Linked DNA regions of Mus musculus. The protein of the gene in region 2 interacts with the protein of the main gene of each other region in a biochemical or structural test. Links are inferred from orthologs where the notes say so. Each region holds a gene or a part of one and is shown on either strand. Other genes may lie near its edges. The genes, in order: Crkl and Map4k1.

The links.
Region 1: the proteins of Map4k1 (region 2) and Crkl form a complex in vitro, tested with the Homo sapiens proteins (2 studies listed by BioGRID). The link is inferred for Mus musculus from reciprocal best matches to the Homo sapiens genes MAP4K1 and CRKL.

The regions. Positions count from the first base shown.
Region 1 is NC_000082.6:17,450,693-17,454,988, reverse strand, and holds the start of Crkl (crk-like protein), read right to left. Parts: upstream 3,005-4,296; 5' UTR 2,512-3,004; coding exon 2,201-2,511; intron 1-2,200. UniProt on the Homo sapiens protein: May mediate the transduction of intracellular signals.
Region 2 is NC_000073.6:28,996,185-28,999,996, forward strand, and holds part of Map4k1 (mitogen-activated protein kinase kinase kinase kinase 1), read left to right. Parts: intron 1-2,267; coding exon 2,268-2,344; intron 2,345-2,428; coding exon 2,429-2,489; intron 2,490-3,588; coding exon 3,589-3,697; intron 3,698-3,779; coding exon 3,780-3,812. UniProt on the Homo sapiens protein: Serine/threonine-protein kinase, which plays a role in the response to environmental stress. Appears to act upstream of the JUN N-terminal pathway.

The DNA.
Region 1 (4,296 bases), on a different chromosome or scaffold from region 2:
AGCCTAATCCAAGCAGGATGACAAAAGGCACAGAACCATCAAGAATGAAGACATAGGTCATTGCTCCAGAAAAGGCAAGCCCTCAGGTGCCCGCTGAGGGTGGAGAAATACAACATGTAGTAGAGAGGGGTATTTATGAGTATCCAGTAAGGCCACATGACCAGTTAGGATTATAATCAACAGGAGTGTTTCTACCATATTTTGTTAATTATGTGTTTGTACAGATATTCAGTTTTCCCCTCAATTTCTTTATCATAAAGCATAACATCAATTAAGAGAATATTAGTAGTTGTTATATTTAAGCTGAGATACTAAAGAATATCCCCCAAGGTACACTGCCATCTATTCCAAAATTTATAATGTACAATTTGCAGCTGTACACGGGACAGTGATATCAAGTTAGGGATAATTATGATTTGGTTATTACTTTCATCTGGAAATTAAACAAAACAGAAAAGATAGGAATGTGTGTCAAGCAGAGCTAATGAAAAACTCAGAAAATTACATTTGGTACTTGAGAAGACACATGAAGTAGAATCAGATCTTGTAACTAGCAGGAAGCCACTGCAGTATATATTTCCCTCTTTGAGGTGACTCTAATAATTAACTTAAACTTTCTCCAACACCTGTCACATTGTTGCATGTTTTAATAAAGGCCTGAAGTCAATAACATAATGTTCACAATTCGAGAAGTGAGTTTACTTAAATATACGACTAAACACTATCCATCCTAAGTCTCTTCAAGCTCTTACATTGAAGATGATTCAAGTTGACAGCACCTGCCAGCATCTACTAGGAACTTCGTGTTTCACAGAATTTTATATTCTCATCTGGATAACACATCACTTTTTACAGTCACTTTTCTGTGTTTTACATTTTTAACAATTCTTTGTGTGTGAGTACTCACTCAGCACACGGAGGCTAAAGGACAACTCTGTGGGGGTGGGCTCTCTGTTCACATTCCCCTGGTGGGAACCAAAGGCAGGTAGGTCACCCAGCTTTCACTGCAAACACTTCCCCTCACTCATCATCAGGCTTAGCCTTCTCCACACTTCCTAAAATCCACTCGGTCTGGCAACGGTTAACCACCCCACCTTCATTATTCTATCCTAAAGAAGAAACTCTTTGGATTTAAGTAGGTGCCCTTAATTAATTATAGTATCTTTTCATTTTCAAAGTTCAGAGCAAATTTCACCTTTATGAAGTCGCCTCACCCTGAAAAATCTAAATCAGCCTTTAATTCTTTTTTTAGAAAATAGCTTAGAAATAAACTGGGCAGGAAAATATCTTTTAAAGTCTCTAGACACCTTTTCAATTCACACTGTATCATTTGATGATATTCGTTAGGGAAATTAAAGCAAATTATAAAATAATGCATTTTACTTGAAAAAGAGAACACTTGGGGATCAATATCTTTCTCTTTAAGACAGGGTCTTGCTACAGCTCAGTCTGACTTGGAATCAAGGTCCTCTTTCCTTAGGGGACTAGGGGTGTGTATCTATCTCAGCTAGCTCTACTTAGGGGTCTTTAAAGCATATGTTAAACCACTAGACTTAATTACAAAAAAAAAAAAAACTAAAATTGAATTAATGTAGAATTTAGGTAAATACACTTCCCACCCCTGAGGAAGGAACGGTGAGGATACAAATTTCTTCAAATATAATCCCACTGTCTTCTCTTGGTAATCCCAGTTTTAAAAATGAGTGCTAGAGAATCAGATTCTGAGATTTCTACACTTTCGATCCATTTTAAGGATTATTCCAAAGGCCGAAGGCCACTTTGTAACCTAAAGTTAGTTGAAAAATGCAGGAGTTACAAAAACCTTAAATGGTGTACAAGAATTTCGAGAAAGGAGGAGTCATGGCTATCTTCAGAATCTCAAGGAAGTCTATATTTTTAGCGTCGTTAATAAGCATTCTGCATTAGTATTACAGTCAAGTAAAGTGGCAAAACTGTGTATATATGTGGGGGGTTAGGGGTGCATTTAAACAATGCAAGCAGCACTGCTAAATGTCTAAATAAAATGCATCCTTTCATCCAATGACCCAGATCCTGATATTGGCCTTATAATCCGAATGTCTTCTGATTTAGAATGAGGAAAAGGAGTTCTATCCCCTACCCTACCCCCAAAATTTAATCTTTGACCGACCCTTCGCATCCGGTCAAGTTCTGAACCGGAGAAGGGCAGGAGCTCGCGTACCTGGGCGCCGGTTCGATTAAGGTGGTAGTGTCCAGGTAGTGGATCTTGTAGAACTCTAACAAGGCCGGCAAATGGTCAAACTCCTGGTCCCCGATCTTAAAGCGGCGGTTGGGCAGGGAGTTGATGATGTAGTGCGAGACACGCGAGTTCTCGGACACGGACAGTACATAGTCCCCGGGGCAGGTAGATGAGTCCCGGACTAGGAACATGCCATGGCGCTGGCCTTGGAGACGAGTCTGCGCCTCCTGGCGAGTCACTGGCCCCATGTACCAGGCAGAGCGGTCTGAAGAATCAAACCTGGCGGAGGACATGGTGTTGGGCTCGGGGATGGGCGGCGTCTGCGGCTCTCTTGCTTGGGAAGCCTTTACCCGCTGTCGGCTTTGGGGTCGAGGAAGGGCCTCTCAGAACACTTCGAGGAACAATCAGAGGGCTTGGTCAGGACGTTCCTCTAGGCTCCGGGCCCCGCAGCATCCTCCGCCACCGCCCTCCTGCACCGGGCCGCCTCACGGAGAGCCGGTCCGGGAACACTGGGCAAAGCCCCGGGGTCGAGGTGGGCGAAGCTGAGCAGTAGCGGAGGCCGCCTCGGGCTTCTCAGCTGGCCGGAGTACAGGGGAGGCTCCAGTGACTTCTGTCCTGGAACCCGCCGCCGGCTCCACAGCCTCAAGAGCCTGCACCGATCCCCGCGGTCACACGAAGCACCGCACTCCAACAAGAGTCGCGCCTCCCGAGCAGTCTTACCCAGCCCGCTCCCAATAGCCACAGCAACAAAATGGCGGACGCGGGAGAAGCAGCCGGGCACCTCCCCCTTGGTCCAGCGCATTCAATCTGCGCACGCGCGGAGCTGGGCTCTACCCCCTCCACCGCGGAGGCCCTTCCTTTGACGTCACTGGGCGCTGCCAATCAGGAGTGCGTTCGCGAGGGTCCCAGCGTGAGCCACTCGCGCGGGCTCCCGCGTTCCGGGAGGAGGCAGAGGGTCAGGCCCTTCCTGGACCGCAAAGCAGCCGCCGAGAAGCTGCTGCTGTCAGGCTTCCCGGGCTTGGCAGGAAAACAGCTGGAGCCGAGAGGGAACAGCGTTTTGAAAACCTGTTTCTGTGAACAAAGCGTAGAGTGGTTGCTGAGTGTCCGGCCAAGAAGGCGTGGCCGTCAGATGATTGCGAGCCAGAAGGCCCTGGTAAATCAGGTGGCTCAGGAAGGGCATGACCTAGGGAGTGAGGTGACCATCAAATAGGTTACTGAATAACCTATCAAATAACGCCTGCCCTAGGTGATCCTCCTTGGTACACGTGGAATGATGGTGAAGATCAGTTTGACTAATACTTTACGAGGAGGACAGTGTGTTGGTGAGGATGACTGGACACTACCGGCTGTAAAGTGTAACAAGTGAAATGCAACACCTGTGTCTGGCCTGAAGCCTGTTGCTCTGCAACAGTTCATTTCCTGCCATTCCACGTTGCTCAGTTTCAGCTCTGCCTCCCTTGACATATTTCTCCCTCCAACCCGACTAGTACCTATTTATTTAATTATTTGTTTGGTTTTTTAGAGACGGGGTTTCTCTGTGTAGTCCTGGCTGTCCTGGAACTCACTTTGTAGACCAGGCTAGCCTCGAACTCAGAAATCCGCCTGCCTCTGCCTCCCAAGTGCTGGGATTAAAGGCATGCGCCACCACTGCCCGGCCTATCTATCTATCTATCTATCTATCTATCTATCTATCTATCAAGATAGGAATTCTCTGTGTGGCCCTGGCTGTCCTGGAACTAACTCTGACCACCAACAGGCTAGGATGAAATTTTAATACCACAGAATACTGTCTTATTTACCTATATTTTGCCTGCCTTAAATCCACATCTAGTCTTGAATGATCAGAAATTTGTTAAATGAATGACTATTGTGAAAAATCACCACAAAAACAGATGCTGGATTATTGGTCATAGCATTCCCAAATTAGATAAACAGGAAGGCATGTCCCAAGCCAGTGGTGGTGACACATACCAATAATCCCATCACTAGGAGATGGAGGCAGGAGGATCATGAGTTCAAGGCAGCTGAGCTCTATGAAACCCAACAAAAATGGGGAGGAAGTTAGGGGAGGGAGAAAT
Region 2 (3,812 bases):
GGAGACCCAGAAGAGCCTGGTGAGGAGCCAGGCGGGAAGGACAGGACTCTAATGGGAGCACAGAGACACGGGCAGGATATTGTTTTAGTTTTATGGGTGAATGGTTTTACCTGCATGTACACCTGTCTATCACATGCGCACAGTGTTGACAGAGGCCAGAAGAGGGCACTGTATCTGCTGGAGCTGGAGTTAACTGGTTGTTGATTCTCATATGGATGCTGAGAACTGAACCCAAGTCCTCTGCAAGAGCAACAAGTGCTCTTAGCCACTGAGCCAGCTCTCCAGCCCCAGGAAGCTCTTTTTTGCTATTTAAGATTTACATTTTAAATTTTTAGATAATGTCTTCTAACATACAACATTGTTATTAATTATTTGAGAATGTCATACGATATATTTTGATTATATCCTGACCTTCCACTCATCCCAGATTCAGGCCCACCCAGCCTGAGTTTGTACCGTTCAAACTTATGACTGTGGGGCCATCTACTAGAACATGGCTAGCTCTTAAAGAAACTGACTTTTTCTCCCTGGAAGCTGTCAACAAATGTGTGCTGTGTTTATGTTTGTGCACACAAACCCAGGCACTTACAGAGTAGAAAAGAGCATGTAGGTCCCTGGAGCTGCAGTTACAGGCAGTTGTGAGCCTCCAGGCATGGGTGCTGGGAACCAGCAGGTGCTCAGCTCTGGAGAGAGCGTCTTACCGGAGTGACGTTGTTGGCCTAGCCAAACCTGGAGCAGAAGTTGTGGTTACTGTTGGGATTTGGGGATCCAAGAGGGGAAGGGAAAGAATGAACTGAAAAGCAGATACTAGGAGAGTCCGAGTTTAGAGGCCAGCGGTGTCTGAGTAAGATCATCTACAGTTAGGGATCGTGATGGAGCCCTAAGGGAAAATGAAGGTCACCTGCATTCAGATGGTAGAGACTGGCATCAGTTTTTTTTTTTTTTTTGGGGGGGGGGCTGGGTTTCACTGCAGCAGAAAAGGACAGACTCAGGAGATTAGAGATGGAGGTTAAGATTGAGGGGTCAGGGCCGGGTGTGGTGGCGCACACCTTTAATCCCAGCACTTGGGAGGCAGAGGCAGGTGGATTTCTGAGTTCAAGGCCAGCCTGGTCTACAGAGTGAGTTCCAGGACAGCCAGGGCTACACAGAGAAACCCTGTCTCAAAAAAACAAAAAAAAAAAAAAAAAAATTGAGGGGTCAGTATTAAATAATAAGAGTCTTGGAATAGAGGTATGTTCCTTTAATGCCAGCATTCCTGAGGCTGAGGCAAAGGATCATCACTTGTTTGAAGCCAGCCAGAGCTGTATAGCAAGAGCCTTCTCCTCTTCCTCCTTCCCTTCTTCTTCTTCCTCCTCTTTTTTCTTTTCTCTTTTTGGTTTTTCAAGAAAAGGTTTCTCCCTGAAGCCCTGGCTGTCTTGGAACTCTGTAGAGCAGGCTGGCCTCAAACTCACAGAGATCTACCTGCCTCTGCCTCCTGAGTGCTGGGCTTAAAGGCGTGCGCTGCCACCACCACCTGGCTGACAAGAGCCTTCTTAAGCAAACAAAGAGCATAGTGGTCCATACTGCTAACCCCTGCTCTTAGGAGGTAGAGGCAGGAGGATCAGAAATTCAGATTCAACTTTGGTTTCATAGCAAGTTCAAGGGCCAGTGGGATACTTGTGAGCAGGTCTCATAAAACAAGAGACAGTCAGGGGAGAAGACTCAGTGGTTAAGAGCACCAGCTGTTTTGTTCAGAGGACCTATGTTCAGTTCCCAGCACCCACATGGGGGCTCACAGTCTTCTCTAACTCCAGTTCCAGGGGATCCCAACCCTCTTCTGGCCTCTGAGGGCACTGCATGTTCATGGTGTACAGGTTGACATGTAGACAAACACGCATACTGAGAGACACCAGAGCTGATCAGCCCCACTGGATAGAAAAGCATACGTTGAGAATCCAGAGTCAAAAATCAGTGATGGAGATCAGCACTAGGGAGGAAGGGGCAGGGCTTAGAGAGGTGCTGCAGGAAGTAGAGTTGGAGGGCCCTGGACAGAGAACTGCCAGGCATTGGCAAGTTACAGAAGGGGGTGGGGGTGGGGAGGAGGGGTCATGGAGACTGGCTTAAGGGACTGAGCGGGGGGGGGGGTTAGAAACTGGGGGTGTCAGCCTGCAAGGGGAATTGGTATGAAAGGGTGAGTTTGGGGTAGAGGGCCAGTTTTGGACAAAGGTCTGGGAGGTCCATCTCCCATGATGAGAGAGCCCAGCAAACTCCTTGTCTGGCCCACTCAGATCAGAACCTGCTCCTGGGGGCAGAGGAAGGCATTTTCATACTGAACCGGAATGATCAGGAGGCCACGCTGGAAATGGTGAGGGATGGGATCAGTGCTGGGAGTGGGGTGGGGTTGCACAGGGTCAAATGGGGATCACAGGAGTCACCCCATCCTCTACAGATCTTCCCTGGCCGCACAACCTGGCTCTATTGCATCAACAACCTCCTCATGTCTCTCTCAGGTTAGCCTGTGGCTAGGGCAGGGGCAGGGGCTGGGGCCAGGAGTGAAGGGAGGGTGGGTATGTGTGTGTGTGGATGAGCACAAACTGAGCCCTCACCTCCACCGGGCCTGAGGTTCATAGCTCACCACTGGTTGAACTTAAGGCCAGGAGCTTTTCTCTCTGAGCCTTAGTTTTCCTATCTGTAAAATGGAGCTCTGATATCTTCACTCCTTTAAGTTGGTTGTGAGTTAATTTTTTACAATCAATTCATCTTTAAATAACTTTGACATCTCTGGGTGTTGTTGGCACACCCCTTTAATCCCAGAGCAGAAGAGACAGGTACAGGTAGGTGGGTCAGGACTTAGTCTCACTTAAGATAGACTGAAGAAATTACAGGGTTTGCTGTTGTTTGGTAAGTACTAGGGCCCGTGTTTGTGGGGCACATGTGCTACCACTGAGCTGTATCTCCAGAACACCCCAACCCCTATCTTTTTTTTCACCCAAGCCAGGGTTTCTCTGTGTAGCCCTGGCTGTCCTGGAACTCATGTAGACCAGGCTGGCCTCAACCTCACAGAGAACTGCTCATCATCATCTCCCCTCCTTTTTTTTTTTTTTTTGAGACTGTCTATCCCTGGCTAGCCTCAAACTTAGAGTGACTCACTTGCTTCAGCCTCCCAAGTTCTGAGACTATGAGCAGGTGCCACCAATCCTGGCTTAGGTAGGTTTTTCTGTTAAACTTTGAAATATGTGCCAGGTGTAGAGTCAGGAGGATGGGAGTTCAAGACCAGCCTCAGCTCCATGGGGAGTTAGAGGTCAGCCTGGACCTGAGACACAAGCACCAAAAAAATAAACTTCAGGTGCAACCTCATGGGCTGGGTAAACCTCACTCCTGTTGCCGGTGCAGCAGCGTTATGAGGGCAGGCGACCTATTCTGCTCTGTTTTCCTAAGCAGATCACGGTGATGCCTGGACCACACTGGTCCTTTCAAGTCTCAAGACTGGGAACTGTGTGACTGGAAAGTGGGGTTTGCATGTTGGGAAGTTTCAGCGGGCTGGGAGACAAAGAGATGGCAAGGGTCCTCTAACTGCTTGACACTCCCGCTCTCATACACACACTGCAGGGAAGACACCCTACCTGTATTCTCATAGCATCCTGGGCCTGCTTGAAAGGAAAGACGGCAGAACGGGAAGCCCCATTGCTCACATTAGCCCTCACCGGTTACTGGCAAGGTAGGAGCCCCACAGGGCGCCATTGGCTTCCCTGCCCCCAGTGCGCCCGCGCAGCCCCTCACTCCTCTTCCTCCTCCTCCAGAAAGAACATGGTCTCCAGTAAGATCCAGGACAC